Linked DNA regions of Stegostoma tigrinum. The protein of the gene in region 1 purifies or fractionates together with the protein of each later gene. This does not show direct contact. Links are inferred from orthologs where the notes say so. Each region holds a gene or a part of one and is shown on either strand. Other genes may lie near its edges. The genes, in order: protein LSM14 homolog A-like and eif4enif1.

Region 1 (10,367 bases):
GACCACAGTCCTTGTGGAGACAAAGTCTCACCTTCACATTGAGAACAATCTCCGTCGTGTTGTGTGGCACTATCACCGTGCTCAATGGGATCGACTTCACACAGATCGAGCAACTCAAGACTAGGTAACCATGAGGCACTGTGAACGATCAAGCAATCTGTAACCTCATAGTCCGACATATCCTTGAATCAACCCTAGTTCAATGGAGAGTGCAGGAGGGCGTGCCAGCAGCAGCACCAGGCATACCTACCTGGTCAAGGCCACTGAACAGGACTACTTGCATGCCAAACTATATAAGCACCAAGTCATGGACAGAGCTAAGGTGATCCCACAACAAACGGATCAGATCTAAGCTCTGCAGTCCTGCCACATCCAGTTGTAAATGGAGGTGGACAATTAAACAACTCACTGAAGGAGGTGGCTCCACAAATATCCTCAATCATGGAGGAGCCCAGCAAATGAATGCAAAAAAAGGTAAGGCTGAAGCATCGACATCAAGCTTCAGCCAGAAGTGCCGAGTGGATGATCCATCTCAGTCTCCTCTAGTCATCCCTGGCATTACAGATACCAGTCTTCAGCCAATTCCATTCATTCCAAGAGATATCAAGAAACGATGGAGACACTGGGCACTACAAAAGGATACAAGCACTGACAACATTCCTACAATAGTACTGAAGACTTGTGCTCCAGAACTTGCTGCTCCTCTAACCAAGCTGTTCCAGTACAGTGACAACACTGGCATCTACCTGACAATGTGTAAATTGCCAAAGTGTGTTTTGTGCAGAAAAAACAGGACAAATCCAAACTAGCCAATTCTCACTCCAGTCTACTTGCAATCAGTAAAGTACTGGAAGGTGTCATCAGTGCTATCAAGCAGCACCTGTTCCACCAGGGCCACTCAGCTCCTGAACTCATTACAGCCTTGATTCACCAGGCATAATGTTTGGCACCATTCGTGACTCGTCAGATATTGAAGCAGTCCAAGTTCAAGATGCAACAAGATTTCAACAATGTCCAGGCTTGGGCTGAGAAGTAACATTTGCACCAAATGCCAGGCTATGATTATCACCAAGAGGCAATCTAAACACCATACCTCAGCATTCAGCTGTGTTACCATCACTGAAACCCACAGAGTGTAGATAGTGGGGGATATCATTGACCAAAAACTCAACTAGTCTCACCACATAACACAGTGGCTACAAGAGCAGGTAAGAGGCTAGGAATGCTGTGGCAAGTAAATCACCTCCTGACTCCTCAAAGCCTGTCCAATCAACAAGGCACAAGTCAGGAGTATGATGGAATACTCCCCACTTGCCTGGATGAGTGTAGCTCCAACACCACTCAGGAAGCTTGACACCATCCATGTCAAAACAGTCCCTGCTTGATTGGCACAAACATAACCACAAACATAACCACAAACATCCATTCCCTCCACCAGCGTGTACTATCTACAAGATGCACTGCAGAAATTCACCAAAGATCCTCCGATAGCACCTTCCAAACCCACAACCATTACCATCGAAGGACAAAGACAGCAGGTATACAGAAACAGCACCACACCTAAGTTCACCTTCAAGCCACTGACTATCCTCTTGGAAATATATCGTTGTTCCCTCACTGTTGCTGGGTCTAAATCCTGGAATTCCCACCCTCGTGTCATTGTGGGTCAACCCACAACAGTGGACTATGGTAGTTCAAGAAGGTAACTCACCACCACCCTCAAGGGCAACAAATGCTGGCCAGTCAGTAATGCACAGATCCCACAAATGAATTTAAAAAAAACTTTCGTGAATCTCTGCCCTTCACCTCCAAGACAGGTACAGGCTTCTTTAATACACACTTCTGGGAAAATGGGCAAGTGCAAGGGAGGAAATAATTTAAAGATATGACATTGGGGCAGGATGACGTAAAGTGGAAGAAAATGGGTGCTGCAGCAGTTAGCACTGTGGCCTCACAGCAACAGTGACCCAGGTTCAATTCCATCCCTCGGGCTACTGTCTGTGTGGAGTTTGCACATTCTCTCCACGTCCACATGGATTTCCTCCAGACACGTTCCAGTTTCCTACCCACCCCACCCCGAGTCCAAAGCTGAGGCGGTTAGGTGGAACGGCCATGCTAAATTGTCCGTAGTGTTCAGGGATGAGCAGGCTAGGTGGATTTGCCATGGGAAGTGTATGGTTACAGGAACAGAGTCGGGGGTTGGGTTTGGGTTTGAGTTTGAGTGGGACCCTCTTCAGAGGGTCACATGAACTTGATGGGCCAAATGTCCAGCTTTCACTGTAGAGGTTCTGTGGTACCTTTCATGGTACTATCCTCAAACTTTCTAAACTTCTGTGGCATTCAAAAACTGGCCAGAATAGATTATTTCTGTACTATAAATCCATTTATATCATTGAGAAAGAGTTAGAAAACACATGGAAAAGACATTAATGGCACCCATGCATTTTGAAACACAGCAGACTGTACTCAGGTCTTATGTCATTGGTGTGAACATCACCTGTTGTCGCAAGAGGTCAACTTCCAAGCAGCAATGCCTTCTGCAGCCAGCACAGAGGAATAATGTTAGCGTGGGATTCACAGATGTAACTTTTTCCTCCTTCCGGCTGGTGGTCTTTTCTGCTAGTCATTTATTTTATCTTCTGCCTTTTCCCACATCCTTTCGGGACTTCTGGCCTCCAGTCATTTCAGTCAGCAGAAAGAATTCCCATGTATCAACTCTAATCCTGGACAATTTTGGGTTTTGCTTACAGACACCAGAAAACAGAATCGTACAGTGTACCGAAGCAAGGTCATTTTGTTCAACTGATCATACACAATTTACCAGAGGAGCTAGATTAAATGTTTTCTTTCTGAGCACCTGATTTAGGAACGAATGAGGCAGATCTCCAAAGCTTCTCACTCCAGGGACCAGTCACAAGCTTAGATGGGTGAAACTGGGGCAGTTCTTCTTTTTGAAAAGTAACGATTCAGAGGAGATGTGATTGAATTGGTCCACGTCACAACACAAACTCAGTGCAGAAAGAAATTGTTCCCATGTTCAAGGTGGTTAAGAACTGGGGGGAAACAAATTTAAGGAGATTACAAAAGGCCAAAAAGTGCCAAGTTTTTTTTGTATTCAGCAAGTGGGTTTGATTTGGAATGCAATGCCAGAAAAGATGGAAAAGAGCAGATTCCTTAATAGCTTTAAAAAGAAATTAGATGGACATCTAGAGAGGCAAAATCTGCAGGGCTACAAGGAATGAACAAAAGAAAAAGAAACTTGTTAAATTGTTTGAACAGAGGTTGCCACAAACAGAATCTCTTCTTTCCTACATTTATAAACTTACAAAATTATTCTAGACTAATTATTTGTAGTGGGCACCACAACACATCGATAAATTCCTCAGGAGTCACCAATTTCCAACTCTTAAAAGACCCAACGATAGGTAGTCAAAGTAAAGCCTTATTGAAGAATACACATTATACAAAATCATTGTAAACAACACAAACACAAAAATCACGTTAGGTTGTTCCAAATTGAAGTGTTTTAGATTTTCCAGTCTATTGGAAAACTATCCAACTAAATCTTTTCAACAGAAAGACAGATGCCCATTTAACCCAAGTAACCAGACAAATCAGTGCTTTTTGGAGTGCACTATTATCATACCTCAAGCTAAAACACTTGCTCAGAAAATTACCTTCTCAAGTCAATTCAACATCTTCACAAATTCATTAAAATCTAATTATTATTTTGGGGTTTACTTCCAACAAAAGGGGTAATTGGATAACACGTTACTTGCCAATAACTAGACAAAAATAACCTCAACCATGAAATTCTTACGTACGTTAAAGATTTGGAACTTCGAAGTAGTCCAGAGATAATCTAAATAGCAATCAGAATATTGCTTCATTATCACTAGACAAATGAAAGTTACTGCAGCTAACATTTTAAAAGTTATCAGCGAATTTTCTATATAACAATTTGCTTGGAAGACACTGCAATATAAACATTATAAACACTAAATTGAGGATGAAAACCACAAAAGCGGAGACTCCTCTGGATAACGAACTGCAAGGAGCAACAGTGTTATCTGATTTGACGAACAAATCGGATTGATTTAGCAGCCATTCAATTTAAAAGCAGTGAGTCATACAAAGAAATATTAAAACGAAATGTCTTAGTTATTTTTGTTTATGATGTGGGTAGCAGGTTGTCTTTATAACCACCGACCACTCCCCACTTTCTTTACCACATCCAATTAGAATATATTGATAAAATTCACATTCCCCACCCCCTCCCCAAAGAAAGTAAGAAAACATCCAAATTAAAGCTCAGATTGAAATACAATTAAACACACTTAAGAGAACAGAAGCTCTTGTTGACAAATCCCGCCATTTTAGTTTTTTTTAAAACAAGGGATAAACTGCCCGACGTTTAAATAACAAATTGTGTTTCTTTAGCGATAAGAATGTCGAAATGTGAGGGATTATTATAGACAAGAGTTATTCACAAGGGATGGGGTCGTATTCTTAGGCCCGGCGCCTCTACGCCATTTACCTTTGGCTAAAGCGACGGTGGAGTTCTCGGTGTCGATGGTGTACAAAATCCCCTCATATCGGATCTCTGCCTTGGAGATCAGGCTGATTTTACTGCCGATGTAAGGAGTACCCCCACTCATGATGGTAGCTGTGCAGTGCCTACCACTATTTGCGGGAGCTGAGGCAGCGGATGAATGCGGATTGCCTCTACCGTCCCGCTCCGGCCTATTCTTTCTCTCTATCCACCTCCCTACCCCCCCGGTCCGTGACGTTCGCTCAGGCAGCAGCCAACATGGCTGCCTTCATATTCCAGTGGCCAGGCCCTTCCCCCACTCAGCCAGTACTTTCCTTCTGTTTCTTTCCCTCTCTTTGCACAACACCAGTCTCACTCTCTGCAGGACGAAATCTTAAAAGATGCGAACAAGCATCTCTCTCTCGGAAGCTTGCACCTCGTAACTCTCCAAAACTAACTCAAAAACATTGCTGGAAAAGTTAACTTCTCAAATCATTGAAGAAATCTGAAGTGAGAGCTGGGAACTGCTCCACGATTTAGTTTTATTTCTAAACCTAGCTGGCATTTACCAAAAATTTTGAAGTACACACATAATATTTGCATTTCTATCTAAATAATAACAAAATAATAACAACCTCTGGATTTGCAAGCTACATTTTGAAATCGTTTGTGATTTAGGGGTTTAAAGACCCTGGAGCAATGTTACGATGATATAATGGATCTGGGCATCACTGAGCATAAATAGCAAGGAAGATCATGCTACACCAGGCCAGACAACAATATGCCTACACATACAAAAAAAGTTAGTTTAGGCCTGATCTATTGTAACTTAAAGTCATAACTAGTTCAATGTTGTTCGAAAATATTTATTTAGGATTGAGTGACAACAATAAGATTGAATTTTGCTTTATGTTTAAAAGTGGGGAAGTTTCATTTGAAGCAAGGGTATTCAATTTTAACAGGAAAATAAAGTTAGGCACAAATTGATGGTGGAGGAATGGGAAAATACATTAAAAGACATGACTGTCCATAGACAATGGATAGTCTTTAAGGAATGATTACATGTCTTGCAGCAACTGTATATTCCTTCAATGTGCCAAACCTCAAAAATGATCAGTCAACTACAGCTAACAAAGGAGGTTCAGAATTGTATAAGATTAAAACAAAGGGGAAAAAATCAGAAGAATGGAAAGAATTTTACAATGTGCCAATGGAGAAGGTGCAGAGGAGATTCACCAGGATGTTGCCTAGGATGAAAAGTCTCAGTTATGAGGAGAGACTGAATAGGCTGGGTTTGTCTTCCTTGGAGCAGAGGAAGTTGGGGGGGGTGGGTGGGCTGGGACTGAGGTATAAAAGATTATGAGAAACATAGACAGAACAGATCAAAGAATCTCTTCCACATGACAGATGTGTCTAAGACCAGAGGGCATAAGTTTAATGTGAGGAGCAAGTAGTTGAGAGGAGATCTGAGGAAGAATTTTTATGCCCAGAGAATGGTAGAAATATGGAATGTGCTGCCTGAGAGGGTGATGGAGACAAATACTCTCACAACATTTAAGAATCATCTGGATGAGTACTTAAGTGTTGGGCATGATAGGCCATGGGCTAAGTCCAGGTAAATGGAATTACTCAGGACCACAAAATTAGTGTTTGTTGGTAGCATAGACATAGTAGGCCAAGGGAACATTGAGTACAGTAGGCCAAAGGGTCTGTTTCTATGCTGTATGTCTTTATGGTGAAGAAGGTATCTGGTATATTCATGTTTATTAGTTGAAGCATAGAGAAGGGAGCTTATGCTGGAACTGTGAAACATGTTGGTTAGGCCACAGCTAGAATACTGCTGTTCTGGATTCCACATTTTGGGAGGGAATGATAGCACTAGAGTGGGTGCAGAGGAGATTTACCAGGATGTTATCTGGGCTTGAGAGTTTCAACTTTGAAGACAAATTGGACAGACTGGAGCAAAGGAGATGGAGAAGAGATTGACAGTCATAGACATAGAGCGATACAGCACAGAAACAGACCCTTTGATCCAATGAATCGATGCTGAACATAATCTCATACTAAACTAGTCCCACTTGTCTGCTCCTGGCCCATATCTCTCCAAACCTTTCCTGTTCAAGTACTTAGCTAAGTGTTTTTTAAACGTTGTAACTGTGCCCATGTCCACCACTTCTTCAGGAAGCTCATTCCCCGCGTGAACCACCCTCTGTGTAAAAAAATTGCCTCTTACGTCTTTTTTAAAATCTCTTTCCTCTCACCTTTAAAATATGCCCTCTTGTCTTGAAATCCCATAGTTGACATGTGTCAAATTATGTGGGTATAGATAGGGTAGACGGGAAGCAATTTCTCCCTTTGTTGGAGAGATCAATGACCGGGGACAGCAGGTTTAGGGGAGATGTGAGGAAAAAACATTTTCAGCTCACTGCCTGCAAGGATGGTAGAGGCAGAAATCCTCATAACACTGAAGAAGCATTTAGATGAGCATTTGTGATGCCAAGGTATCCAAACCTATGGGCCAAGTGCTGGAAAATGGGATTAGAATTGTTAGGTGGTTGTTTTTGACTTATGCAGACACAATGAGCTGAAGTATATTTTTCTGTATTGTAGACCTCTGTGACTCTATGACATAAAGTACTCCTGATGGAGATGTGAATATAAAAATACAGTCGGCCATTTAATACCTGGAGCCTGCTGTGCTATTTAAATGTATGGTGGATGATGTGATTGTAGCCCAGAATTACCTTTCACCTCTCTTGCTTCCTGGAAGCTATCCACTTCTACCTTACACATACACAAAGATTTTGCTTCCATGGCCTTTTGAGGAAGTGAATTCCAAAACTTAGAGCTCACTCTGAAGAAAAATGTTGTTTAATAGTTTTTAAGTGGTGATCCCCTAGTTCTAAACTCTCCCACAAGATAAAACATTCTGGAACATTCATCCTGTCAAGCTTCCTCAGGATCAAAAATGATTCATTCAAGTCACCTCTTACTCTTGCATACTACAGCAGGTCTGAGCCCAGCTGGTCCAACTTTTCCTCTGGTATTGAGATCAATAAAGATGGATTTCAGGAATAACTTGGCAGCCCCCTTACTGATTGAGATGGCCAAACCAGAACCGATGCTGTTGCTACACAAAGCCTATAGCAAGTGATGAAGGAGAAAGTCTACCTGTCATACTCCATGTTCCTTGACAACATTAAGAGAAGTACAACCTTGTTTTTAAAAGATAACAAAGTGTAGAGCTGGATGAACACAGCAGGCCAACCAGCATCTTAGGAGCAGGAAAGCTGACGTTTCCAGACTAGACCCGATTTCACAAGCTTCAAAATGTCCCCTCCCACTACCGCATCCCAAAACCAGCCCAGCTCGTCCCTGCCTCCCTAACCTGTTTTTCCAACTATCCCCTCCTCCCACCTCAGGTCGCACCCTCATTTCCTACCTACTAACCTCACCTGTCTGTCTACCCTGGACTGACCTATTCCCTCCCTACCTCCCCACCTACACTCACCTTTACTGGTTCCATCCCCGCCTCTTTGACTTATCCGTCTCCTCTCCACCTACCTTCTCCTCTATCCATCTTCTATTGACCTCCATCTCTCTCCCTATTTATTTCAGAACTCCTTTCCCTTCCCTCATTTCTGATGAAGGGTCTAGATTTTGTTTCAAAGAGTCAGTGCTATATTGATATACATCATTCTTTTGGACTCCTCCATCAGAGGAAGTGTTGCCCATCCTATCAAATGCATTTAAAATTCTGAACAGCCCAGTTGATCACCCGTTAATCTTCTATACTCAAGGCAATGCAAGCTAGTGAATTCACCACTATTACAATGATGAAAACAATCTCACAGCTTCACAACTTATGTGTCTCTGAACTAAATGTCATTACTAACTAGAAGATGAATGAGGGGAATTGTTTTGATTGTGATTTTTCATTGTGAAGGGAGAAGAATGTAAATGAGTGTCAACATAATCATTACAACAGCTTACACAAATGAAACAATTTGTGTTAACAAAGTGTGGGGCTGGATGAACACTGCAGGCCAAGCAGCATCTTAGGAGCACAAAAGCTGAGGTTTTGGGCCTAGGCCCTTCATCAGAAAAGGGAGATGGGGAGAAGGTTCTGAAATAAATAGGGACAGAGGGGGAGGTGGATCAAGGACAGATAGAGGAGAAGATAGGTGGAGAGGAAACAGACGAGTTAAAGGGGTAGGGATGGAGCCAGTGAAGGTGAGTGTAGGTGGGGAGGTAGGAAGGGGATAGGTCAGCCCGGGGAAGACGGACAGGTCAAGGGGGTGGGATGAGGTTAGTAGGGAGGAAATGGAGGTGCGGCGTGAGGTGGGAGGAAGGTATGGGTGAGAGGAAGAACAGGTTAGGGAGGCAGGGATGAGCTGGGATAACAAAGTGTGAAGCTGGATGAACACAGCAGGCCAAACAGCATCTCAGGAGCACAAAAGCTGACGTTTCGGGCCTAGACCCTCTCTGATGAAGGGTCTAGGCCCAAAACGTCAGCTTTTGTGCTCCTGAGATGCTGTTTGGCCTGCTGTGTTCATCCAATTTCACACTTTGTTATCTTGGATTCTCCAGCATCTGCAATTCCCATTATCAGGGATGAGCTGGGCTGGTTTTGCCCTGCAGCCCAATGGTATCAATGTGGATTTCACAAGCTTCAAAATCTCCTCTCCCCCCACTGATTCCCAAAACCAGCCCAGCTCATCCCCGCCTCCCTAACCTGTTCTTCCTCTCACCAATCCCCTCCTCCCACCTCAAGCCACACCTCCACTTCCTACTTACTAACCTCATCCCGCCCCCTTGACCTGTCTGTCCTCCCCAGACTGATCTATTCCCTCCATATCTCCCCACCTATACTCTCCCCTCCAACTATCTTCTCCTCTATCTATCTTCAGTCCGCCTCCCCTTCTCTCCCTATTTATTTCAGAACCCTCTCCCCATCCCCCGTTTCTGATGAAGGGTCTCGGCCCAAAATGTCAGCTTTTGTGCTCCTAAGATACTGCTTGGCCTGCTGTGTTCATCCAGCTCTATACCTTGTTATTTCGGATTCCCCAGCATCTGCAGTTCCTATTATCTCTGAGACAATTTGTGTGTTGTGATTTGCAATGCTGTGGTTTGAAAACAGTTAAATATTCTTCAAACGTCTATTCCTGAAGATGTTATCTCTACAGAATTGGTTGCCTGCCTCGTGATGAAGCTTATCGTTTCCCTAATATTATGAAATTGAGAACTATCCATTTCGCCAAACAGCAGGTTGGAATCTCCTGATGTTTTCAGCATTAGACTTCATTAGGATGATTACAATGGCTTGTATGAAAATAAGTTGTGAAAAGGACATAAAGAGGAAGTGAAGTAGTGTGGTCAGATTATGTGAGTGTGCAGAAATTTGGTGGATGGTGGTACCTTGTTGGAAGATATGAACTTTGTTCACTTTGGCAGGAAGAACGGAAAAACAGAATATTATTTAAATAGAGAGAGACCTCAGTGGTACAAGGGGATCTGAGCACACTGGTACATGAATCACAAAGCTAGTATGCAGATATATGTGCACTGTAAGAGATTCAGAAGGCTAATGGAAGGCTGAGATAACAAGGTGTACAGCTGGATGAACACAGCAGGTCAAGCAGCATTGTAGGAGCAGGAAGGCTGACATTTCGGGCCTAGACGCTTCCTCACAAAAGCTCTTGTTTACTGCTTGGAATGTAACAGTGGGAATGTTTTCCTTCAGGGCATAGGTTGATTAACTAGGCTCAAGAATTTTTGGAGGTAGGTAGGAATGTGGAGTGGAGGCTACAATCAGAGCAGCCATGATTTTACTAAA
Region 2 (10,070 bases), on another chromosome or scaffold:
GGCACAGGATGCTCAATAGGCATATGACAAACTGGTCTGACATCAATAAAAAGACTAAAAGTAGCTACAATTTCTCCTCATCTGGCAAATGGAAATTCATGATTCATATTCAAAAATGAAGTGAAACAAACTGTCTCCAATAAATTGGCTACTTAAAGACCAAATAGTTAAGCCAAGTCACACAACTTGATAAACTATTCATGAGGATTCATAAAGGCTCCCAGTGACAACTAAACTCAATGTCAGCAATGTTACATTTCCACCCAGACAGGACATCCTGGAGGGCACATCCAGAGGCAAAATGGGTAGAGCTCAAAAATAAAATGGGAACAATCACTGATTGGATTATACTACAGGCCTTTCAACAGCCAAGAGATTGGGGAAAAAACATAGGCAGATTATGGTAAGGTGCAATTAAAAAAGAAGAGTTGTCACAGTGAATGATTAACTTCCCTGGTATCGACCAGGAATCCCTCACAGCAAGAGTTTAGACAGGGTGGAATTTGTTAAGTGGCATCCAAGAGGGTTTCTGAAACAGTGTGGATAATCCAGCTACAGGAGGGGCCATACTGGACATAGGCTTGTTAGGCAAGCCAGGCCAAGTGACAGACCCTTCAGTGGGAGCACATCTTGTTAAGTGATCACAACCCCATAAGTTTTAACTCACTCATTAACTCACTCACTGCCAATATTGGAGTCCAAGATAACAAGGTATGGAGCTGTTGGAATGCAGCAAGCCAGGCAGCTGAGGAGCAGGAAAGCTGACATTTTGGGCCTGGACCCTTCAAAAAAAAAAAAGGAAGAAAGGTCCTGACAAAATGTCGGCTTTCCTGCTCCTCTGATGCTGCCTGGCCTGTGTTCCTCCAGCTCCACACCTTGTCATCCGTTAAGTTTCAAGATAGCTATGAACAAGGATAAGTCAGGACCTTGAGGGAAGGCATAAATTGGGAGAGGGAAAATTACGTCAGTGTTAGGCAGGAGCTAGAGTGTGTTCATTGGGAGGTGCTGTTATCAGGCAAGTCCAGGTTTGACATGTGGGACTTATTTAAAGACCTGCTGGGGACAATTCGAGTCTGGTATGTTCCAATAAAAGGAGGATAAGGATGGCAACGTAAGGGACCCTTGCATAATGAGAGAGTTTGTGAATTTAGTCAGGAAAAAAGGAAAAGACAGAAGGAAAGCTAAAATCAGCTAGAGCCCATGGGGAATACAAGAAAAGCACCCAAGCAGGAAAGTAGGAGACCAAGACAGCATGAAATGATCTTGGCCAGTAGGGTTAAAGAGAATCCCAAAGGTATTCTACAGATCCATTTAAAAAGGAATAGGATACTAGGGAGAGGGTGGGCCACTCAAGGTGAAAGGAGAGAACGTGTGCTTGGAAGCAGATAATATGGGCAAGGCCCTAAATGAGTACATTGCATCAGTATTCACCCAGAAGAATATGGAGAATAGTGAGATGTGTGGACAGCATGCTAAAACACATTGAGATCAAGACAGAAGTGGCATTGATCTCTTGAAGGGCATCAAGGTGGCTAAGTTCCCAGGGCCTAATGGTATCTAGCCCAGATTATTGAGAAAGGCATGACAGGAGATTACTAGGGCCTTGACCAAGATCTTTGTATCCTCACCAGCCACTGGAAAGGCCCCAAAGTACTAAGTGAGTGGCTTGTGTTGGTCCTCTGTTCAAGGAGGGAACTAGAGATAATCCAGGGAACTAAAGGCCAATAGTCTCACGGTGGTTGGAAAGTATTAGAGAGAACTCTTAGGGACAGGATTTATGCACATTTGGAAAAAGCATGGCCTCATTAGGGCCAGTTAGCATTAGCTTTGTGCAGGTCATGTCTTACTAAGATGATTGGCTTTTGAGATGGCCACAAAGGCGATTGAGGGTATTCAGTGGATGTTGTTTACATGGATTTTAATAAGGCTTTCAACAAAGATCCCTCATGGTAGGCTCATCTAGAGGATTAAGTTGCATGGGATCCACGGTGACTTGGCCACATGGATTCAGAAGTGGCTGGCCTATAGAAGCAAGAGGGTATTGGTAGCATCTTCCAGGCTGGAGATCCATGACTAGTGGTGTTCCACAGAGAATCTGCACTGGGACCTCCGCTGTCTGAGATTTATATAAGTGAATTGGATGAAAGTGTAGATGGATAGGTTAGCAAGTTTGCAGCTGATATAAAGATCGGTGGCGTTAGAGATGGTGTAGAAGTTTGTCAAAGGACAACAGGATATGGGCAGAGAAATGGCAGATGGCGTTTAATCTGGGTAAGTAAGGTGCTACACTTTGGGAGATCAAGTGTTAAGGAAACATAGCTGGTGGCATGACTCTTAACACCTTTGATGTACAGGAGGATCTTGTGGGTTCAAGCCCATAGCTCCCTGCAATTAGCCAAGTAGATAGGATGGTAAAGGTGGCATAAGCATGCTTGACTTCATTGTGGGGAATTGTGTAGGAGAATCAGAATTTCATGTTACAGCTTTTAAGATGTTGATTAGGCCACAGTATTGCAGTCAATTCTGGTCACCACGTTACAGGAAAGATGCAGGGGCTTTGGAGAGAATGCAGAGGTGGTTTACCAAGATGCTGCCTGGACAAGAGGTTTTTAGAGTGGCTAGAAAAACTCAGTCTCTGCTACTCAAAAAGGAAAACAAAGGGGAGACCTGATACAAATCTATAAGATTGTGACGCATGGATAGAGTTGAAATGTCTAATACTAGGGGGCATGCATTTAGGGTAGGAGTGGGGAGTTCAGTGGAGACAGCAGGAGCAAATTTTTTTTAAAAAGTACAAGTCTGGAACACTGCCAGGGTGGAGGAGGAGGCAGATAGATGCATTTAAAAAAGGACTTTCAGACAAGGACATGAATATGCAAGGAATAAAAGGCATATGGACCAACAGCAGACAGAAGGGATTAGTTTAATTTGGTGTCATGTTTCACACATGATCATGGGTTGAAGGGACTCTCGTACAGTTTTGTGTTGTACTGTTTTAATACTTTAGATCAAATCCTAAAATAAACTTGCCTAACAGCACTTGAGCTACAAAAAAAAAAAGGCAGTTTACCACCAGCTTCAAGGGGCAGTTGGAGCTTGGTATTTCTCAAAGTGTAGCCAGCAGTACTCAGATGTTAAGCAGAAAGTTAAAGGCAGATGATGCTTGATACTTGGAAAATAGAGGTTGAGTGGGTCACGCTACCCATACTTTCACAGTTCATTAAAACAGCGACTGCTGTTACATGACATCACACCACAAAATGGTTTTTAGTCATACCTCAAAACTTTGGTCAATTGCTATTGACTTGTGTCCACTCAGCTGCACCAAGTTAAACAGAATCTTCCAATTTTGCTACAGCTGGACACAGTCATCAAGACAAATTCTTGAACAGAATTTGTTCTATCTATTAATCATGATCCATCAACTTGACAAGTATAGCCATTACTAAAACAAAAATAAATACTTGCAAGCTGTAAGATCCAAAACAAGTTTAAGATGTCAACCACATCAGTTCCATGAAATGCATTTTAAATATTAACCCTAGCTATCACCACGTAATCCATACCTTTGAATATCGATACGGTTTCTTCATAACACAGATTTTTGGTAGATTAACTAATGGCTCTCCATTTTCTTCAATCCATTCTTTTTTATCCATGGCTGCCACGGAGGGCTTTGTGAACATGTCCCTTCAAACGAAAACAAAGCTTCAAACTCAGTCAATTCGAACATTTAAAGCTACTGCACTTTAAAAAAAGAACCCAAGTCAGTTCGGAACGCAGTTAAAAGCTACAAAAGAAATTTAATTTCCATTCCATCAACTACTGTTGCGCTAGTAGTGTTACACTATCGTACAGCACAGACATCCAAGTAGCAATTGCGCAGGTTTGTCTCCTCACCCACTGGGAGAACGCAACTGCAACCCGTTCTCCCTTTGAAAATTTTTCAGTTTTGAAACAAGACGGCTTGCGAAAAAGGTAAAATTATCCCGACTTCACCACAGCCAAGGCACACTAGGAACAAATGGCCAGCTATTTCATTTGACGTCGCAGGAACCCATAAACAAAACGTGATATAAACAGGACGGGACAAAAAAAAACACACAGTTTGCTTCACCTGGTACAAAGACCGAGGCTAGTCGATGTTTTGCATGATAAACCATACAGACACACACCTGACAGAGAGATTCCGAGGCTGACAGTTCAGGCCTCGGACTGAGGAAGTTTGCCCGGGTGAGAAGGAGTGGGGATGAAAAAAAGACGTCCGGCTGCCCTGCCGGTCACCAGGTCCGGGCCGAGCGGAGAGAGTGCGCGAGGAGGGAGAACGGCCCGCCCGCCCGCTCCGGGCACTGGAGGGGTTTTTTTGGGTGGGTTGGGGGTTTGGTCAGACCCCGGCGCCACCCTAAAGACTGACTCCCGAAGACAGGAGGCAAAGGGTAGGCTTCTTCCCCGGGAGGGGGAAGTGAGTATGGAGGAAAGGGGAGGGGGTTACGGACACTCGGCCCCTCGCTTGCCGCCTCTCCCGCTCTAGCCTGAGCCGGAGCCGACGGAACCGGCCTGTGTCCCGAAGCCCGGCAACAGCCGCTTCGCGCACCCGGATGTACAGACCAACCGCCTGCCTGTCCCCACAACCAAAACAGAAAAAAACAAACACACAAAAAAAAGCCACAAGACCCGCACTTTCCTTTTTTTAAAAAAAAAAGCGCTTTCGATTACACTTTTAATAATTTTGTTAAGACCCCCTCTTCGTCCTCAAAAGGGAAAGGGCCCACAAGCAACTAGGATTGACGACTATATTTCAGACAATAGAACCAATCAGAGCGGAGGAGGCGGGGCAAGACCACAACGTCATTGGGTTAATCCCATTCACTTTTTCGTCTGATTGACAGTGATACCGGAAGTGGGCGGCTGAGTGCTGTCAGAGGCTGTCTATTGAGTAGGGCAGCCAAATGGAGCGTTCAGAGCAATCACATCATCCTGGATGATTAAATTTAATTCATCTCACATGTCATGGCCAATATCAGACGATATTGTTAATGCTTCTTTCTCCTCAACCACTGACCCCCCTCCCTGTGGAATTTCTTTCCCCACAAATTACTGTGTCACTGATTTTAGTCAAGGTAGTACTGAATAGATTTTTGTAAATGGAGTCAACAACTCTGGACCACATAGAGGAAAGTGGAGTGGAGATCACAACATGTCAGCAAATCAGCTTTCCCAAAGAGTCCCTAGTCTGGCATACATAAAAATGCACAGCAAGCCTCTGGACAATGTGGATCATTTCCCATACCTTGGAAGCTTCCTCTTGGTGCAAACAGACATTGACAATGAAATCAAACATTGACTCCAATAAACCATTGCAACTTGAGGAACAGAAAGTCCAGCAAATCCATTGCCAAGCTCATGCTATACATTGAAGCCAGGCTCCCACCCTCCTGTATGCAGCAGAAATATACAGCATGTACAGTAGATATCTCAATTCATTGGAGAGTTATCACCACTGCTGCCTTTACAAAATCCTGGAAATCCATTGGCAGAATACGTATACCAACACAAGCATCCTCTCCCAGGCCAGAGTCATGGATGACTAGCTGCTGTGGGTGGGCCCAACTCAGGACTCCCTAAACAGGAGTCTGAGCTCCGCAGTGGTAAGTGATCACCAGGAGGGTAAATGAAATGCTACAAGGATACTCTGAAACCACCTACCCAAACAAATGTAATATTCCCAACAATGCATGAGAATTGCTTGCCATAGAATGCACAAACTTAGGAAGAAGCATCCACAAAAATGACACCACTTCCAGTATCACCAAGTGGAGCACATGGAGGTTAAGCACAAGGAGGGGAAGGAGTTCACAAAATCAGAACAACCCACCCTCCTGCCTCATCAAATGTCACCTTCCCCTCCTATGGCAGAGTCTGTGGCTCCAGGAGTGAATTATGCAACCACCAAAGAAATCCCCCTTCCCCGCCTCAAATGGAAGGAAGTTGTCCTGGACCCTGAGGAACTGCCAAAGAAAAGAAGATTAGATCCTCATTAGTTATATGGGACAAATGTGATTCCAACCTCTCTGCCCGTAAGACACATGTCTATCTTTTCCAGATTTCACTGTTTGAATAACTCCAATAAGATTTTTCTATTTATTGGAACAGTCATCATTGCATAAATCAAAAAACAAACTCTTACAAGTGAAGAGGTGTGGTACAGAGCTAAACAAGTTGTTCATGGCTTATTTAAGCTCAACATTTCAGAGCTTCTTATTAAAAAATGTATCACTATTCTATTTAGTGCTTGGAAGCAGTGGCAGACTTGAACTAGCACATGGTCCCAAAGGTTAAAAAAGTAGACAGCAACATTTCCTGCCAAATTTTTGAAAATTGAGTCAGCTGACTTTTCAGATATTCACAGAGCTGCCTAAGATGAATATTTCTCCTATGTATACTATTGGGGAGCCTAATGCCTTATTTAGGACTCCTTGAGAAAACAGATATGCCCAAATATCAGGCTTGTCTCACTATAACAATTCTGAAGAAGAGTCATGACATACTTGAAACATTAACTCTCCAAAGATGCTGCAAAACCTGTTGAGTTTCTCTAGCATTCTCTGTTTTTGTATCACATTTTCATCATCTGCAGCATTTTACTCATAATTTAATAAATTATTTCTCGCCAGTTTAAGAACAAACATCAGGACTGTACCATATGTCATCTTGCAACTCACGCGTACATATCAGCAATTAGGTCATCGCTTAAGACCCAAAGCACATGTTTCGCAAGCTCCCATTTCCAGTTTCCTCCTCAAGCAAAGCACATGGGCCTTAAGAGGTGCATGAACAGTCTCAGATTAAGTGCATATATGTAAGAGTACTGTTAAAAATCCTGAGATTTCAGTTCTCCTGTGAGATTGTGGGTAAAGTTGAATATGAATGAGAAACCACATCTCTCACAATCACTTCAGAAGAGTTAGCACATCTATGTATGCTCCAATCGCAGTATTGATACAGCTCAAAGGAGAACACCAGCTTTTCCAAACCCAGGTTTGAAACTTAAATCTCTCATCCCTGGAACCATTCTGTTAAATCTACTCTGCACCTCATCATGGGTCCTCATGCTCCTCCTAAAATGTGGTGGCCAAATCAGTGGCGGTCAAAGTCACAAATAACAACATGTGACTGTGACCAGGATAAACTATTCCTTCTCTGGTTTTGAATCTATATGGACTTTGACATGGTTCACCATGCCAAACTCACCAACACTACTGGCCAGCTCGGTAGGGCTGGACTCACCTAGTTTCTCTTGTCTCTCCAGTTGCAGTCAGACAATTACCATCATTGATTTCTCTTCTCAATCCGGCCACATTGTCACAGAGTCATACAACACGGAAACAGGCTCTTTGGTCTAACTCGTTTGCATCAACCAGACATTCCAAAATGACCTAGTCTCATTTGCCAGCATTTAAGCCATTCCCCTCCAAATCCTTCCGATTCATAAACCCCTCCAGATAGATTGTTTGTGGTGTCTCTCAAGGCCTAGCCCTACCAGCTCTTATTTCTCATCTGTACACTTTGGTGGCACCATTTAAAAATACACCAACGGATTCCATGTATGGGCTGATAACACCCAACTCTGCCTCACCACACCTCTCTCAACTCTTACAGTGCCTCAAAATTGTCAGGCTCCTTGTCAATATCTGGGGCCTGATGAGCAGAAATTTCTCTGAACTAAATATACAGAACAATGAAGCCATTACAAACTTCATTTTTGAGTCACCAATTCCCTGCTCTACCTGGTCACTGTCTGAGGCTGAATTAAACTGTTCACAAGCTTTGTGTCATATCTGATCCTGATATGATCTCATCCTCACTCCTGAGACTGTCACCCAATTCTGACCTGCACCAGTGCACCTGATATTGAAATCCTCATTCAAGTTTTTGTTAATTAGGTCTTCACTATTCTATTCTATTCTTCCATTTCCTACAAATCAAACATTACGCCAATTTGCACCAAATCCCATTGACTTGGCCAACACATTTTAGGAGGAGCATGAGGACCCATGGTGCAGAGGAGATTTACCAGAATGGTTCCAGGGATGAGAGATTTTAGTTACAAACTTGGATTGGAAAAACTGGGGTCTCCTTTGAGCAGAGATTATGGGGAGATTTGATAATAATGTGCAAGATTATGACAAGTTTGGATAAGGGAAGCAACAGAAAACTGTGACTATTTTTGATAATACAAGGATGAAAGGGAAGACAGATTGAAGGTTTTGGTCAAAAGATATGTCAGAGATGTGAAGAGGAACACTTTAACTCAGCAAGCAGTAATGATCTGGAACTCATTGCCCACAAACAGAAACACCAGCAGGAAAGTGAATAGACACTTGAAGGATAAAACAACTTGCACAGCGACAGGGATCAAGAGAGGGAACAGAATTAACATTGAATTGGTCCACAGGAAGTCAGCATGGATTCAGAGAATCCCTTTTGCATTGTAAATGACTCTATGATTGTTGTACTTACTGACATGCATTGGCTTCCAGGTAAGCAATGCTGCAATTTCAAAATGATCATTTTTGTTTTCAAATCGCTCCATGGCCTAATCCTTCCCTATATCTTATGTTTCTTCCAGCTCCATGATGTTTTGAGATCCAACCTCCTCTAATTTTGGAGATCCTTAATTTTAAACACTCCACCATTGGTATTCATACTTTCATTTGCCTAGGCCCTAAGGTCTGAAATTATTTGCTAAAACTCTTTGCCTTTCAACCTTTCTTTCATTAATTGTAGCACTGTTGATTCTTAATTGCCCTCTGAAATTACCTAAAAAGCCACCCAAACTGGATGGACCACCTAGCAATGACCCAGGTACCAGAAACAACTCCATCACAGCCATGTTGAGCTTGTAATGTTCTCTTCGCTAACATAGAATTCCTGCAGCGTGGAAGCAGGTTATTCAGCCCATCAAGTCCAAACCGATCATCCAAACATCTCTGTAACACCGCATTTCCCATGGCCATCCACCTAACCTGCACACCTTTGGACTGTGGAAAGAACCAGACCACTCAGAGGAAACTCATCCAGACGCAGGGAGAAAGTGCAAACTCCAAACAGACAGTTGTCCAAGGCCTGAATTGAACCTTGGGCCCTGTGAGGTAGCAGTGCTCACCACTGAGCCACCGTGACACCCTAACATCTGGAACCTTGTGTCAAAATTTCAGACTGCAGTCCCAGAAACTAGTCAAGCAGCAGCCTACACAGTCATACTCATAGAATCATTCCTTGTAGACAATGCTCCAGACATCATCATCCCTGGATATGTCACCTCCCAGCAGCAAGATGAACCCACTAGAGGTGTCAGTACAGTGGTACACTGTGCAGGAGATAGTTATCCTGGGAGTCGATATTGAGTCTGGGCCCCATGAAGTTTCATACTGTCAGGTCAAACATAGGCAAGGGAACCTCCTGCTGATAACCACTTAGCACCCCCACTTGGCTGATTATTCAGGTTTCCTCCTTGTTGAACATTACTTGGAGGAATCTCTCAGGGTGGCATGGATGCAGAATGCACTCAGGGTGGGGGAACCTCAAAGTCCATCTACAAAAGTGTCTCAGTAATATCACCACTGACCAAGCTGGTTGAGCTATTGTGCAATCCCTACAGTGTGGAAACAGGCTATTAGGCCCATTAAATCCACACCGACAGTCTGAATAGCATCCCACCCAGACACTGTAACCCTGCATTACCCATCGCTAATCCACCTAACCTGCACACTTTTGGACTGTGGGAGGAAACCAGAACACCCAAAGGAGACACAGTGCAGAATATGCAAACTCCACACAGACAGTTGCCTGAAGGTGGCATCAAACTCAGATCTCTGGCGCTGTGAGGTATCAGTACTAACCAATGAGCCACTGTGCTGTCCTAAAGTTCGAAAGGATATTCTTAGAATCCCTACAGTGTAGAAACAGGCCATTTGGCCCAACAAGTCCACTAACCTTCCAAAGAGCATCCCGCTATCCTATCCCTGTAACCCTGCATTTTCCATGACTAACGCACCTGACTGACGCAT

What was found.
Region 2: the proteins of protein LSM14 homolog A-like (region 1) and eif4enif1 purify together in Homo sapiens (affinity purification with mass spectrometry; 3 studies listed by BioGRID and IntAct, with this or other methods). This does not show direct contact. The link is inferred for Stegostoma tigrinum from reciprocal best matches to the Homo sapiens genes LSM14A and EIF4ENIF1.

The regions. Positions count from the first base shown.
Region 1 is NC_081369.1:64,933,719-64,944,085, forward strand, and holds the start of protein LSM14 homolog A-like, read right to left. Parts: upstream 4,794-10,367; 5' UTR 4,659-4,793; coding exon 4,538-4,658; intron 1-4,537. UniProt on the Homo sapiens protein: Essential for formation of P-bodies, cytoplasmic structures that provide storage sites for translationally inactive mRNAs and protect them from degradation. Acts as a repressor of mRNA translation. May play a role in mitotic spindle assembly.
Region 2 is NC_081379.1:46,711,056-46,721,125, reverse strand, and holds the start of eif4enif1 (eukaryotic translation initiation factor 4E transporter), read right to left. Parts: upstream 4,614-10,070; 5' UTR 4,176-4,613; intron 3,691-4,175; 5' UTR 3,687-3,690; coding exon 3,567-3,686; intron 1-3,566. UniProt on the Homo sapiens protein: EIF4E-binding protein that regulates translation and stability of mRNAs in processing bodies (P-bodies). Plays a key role in P-bodies to coordinate the storage of translationally inactive mRNAs in the cytoplasm and prevent their degradation.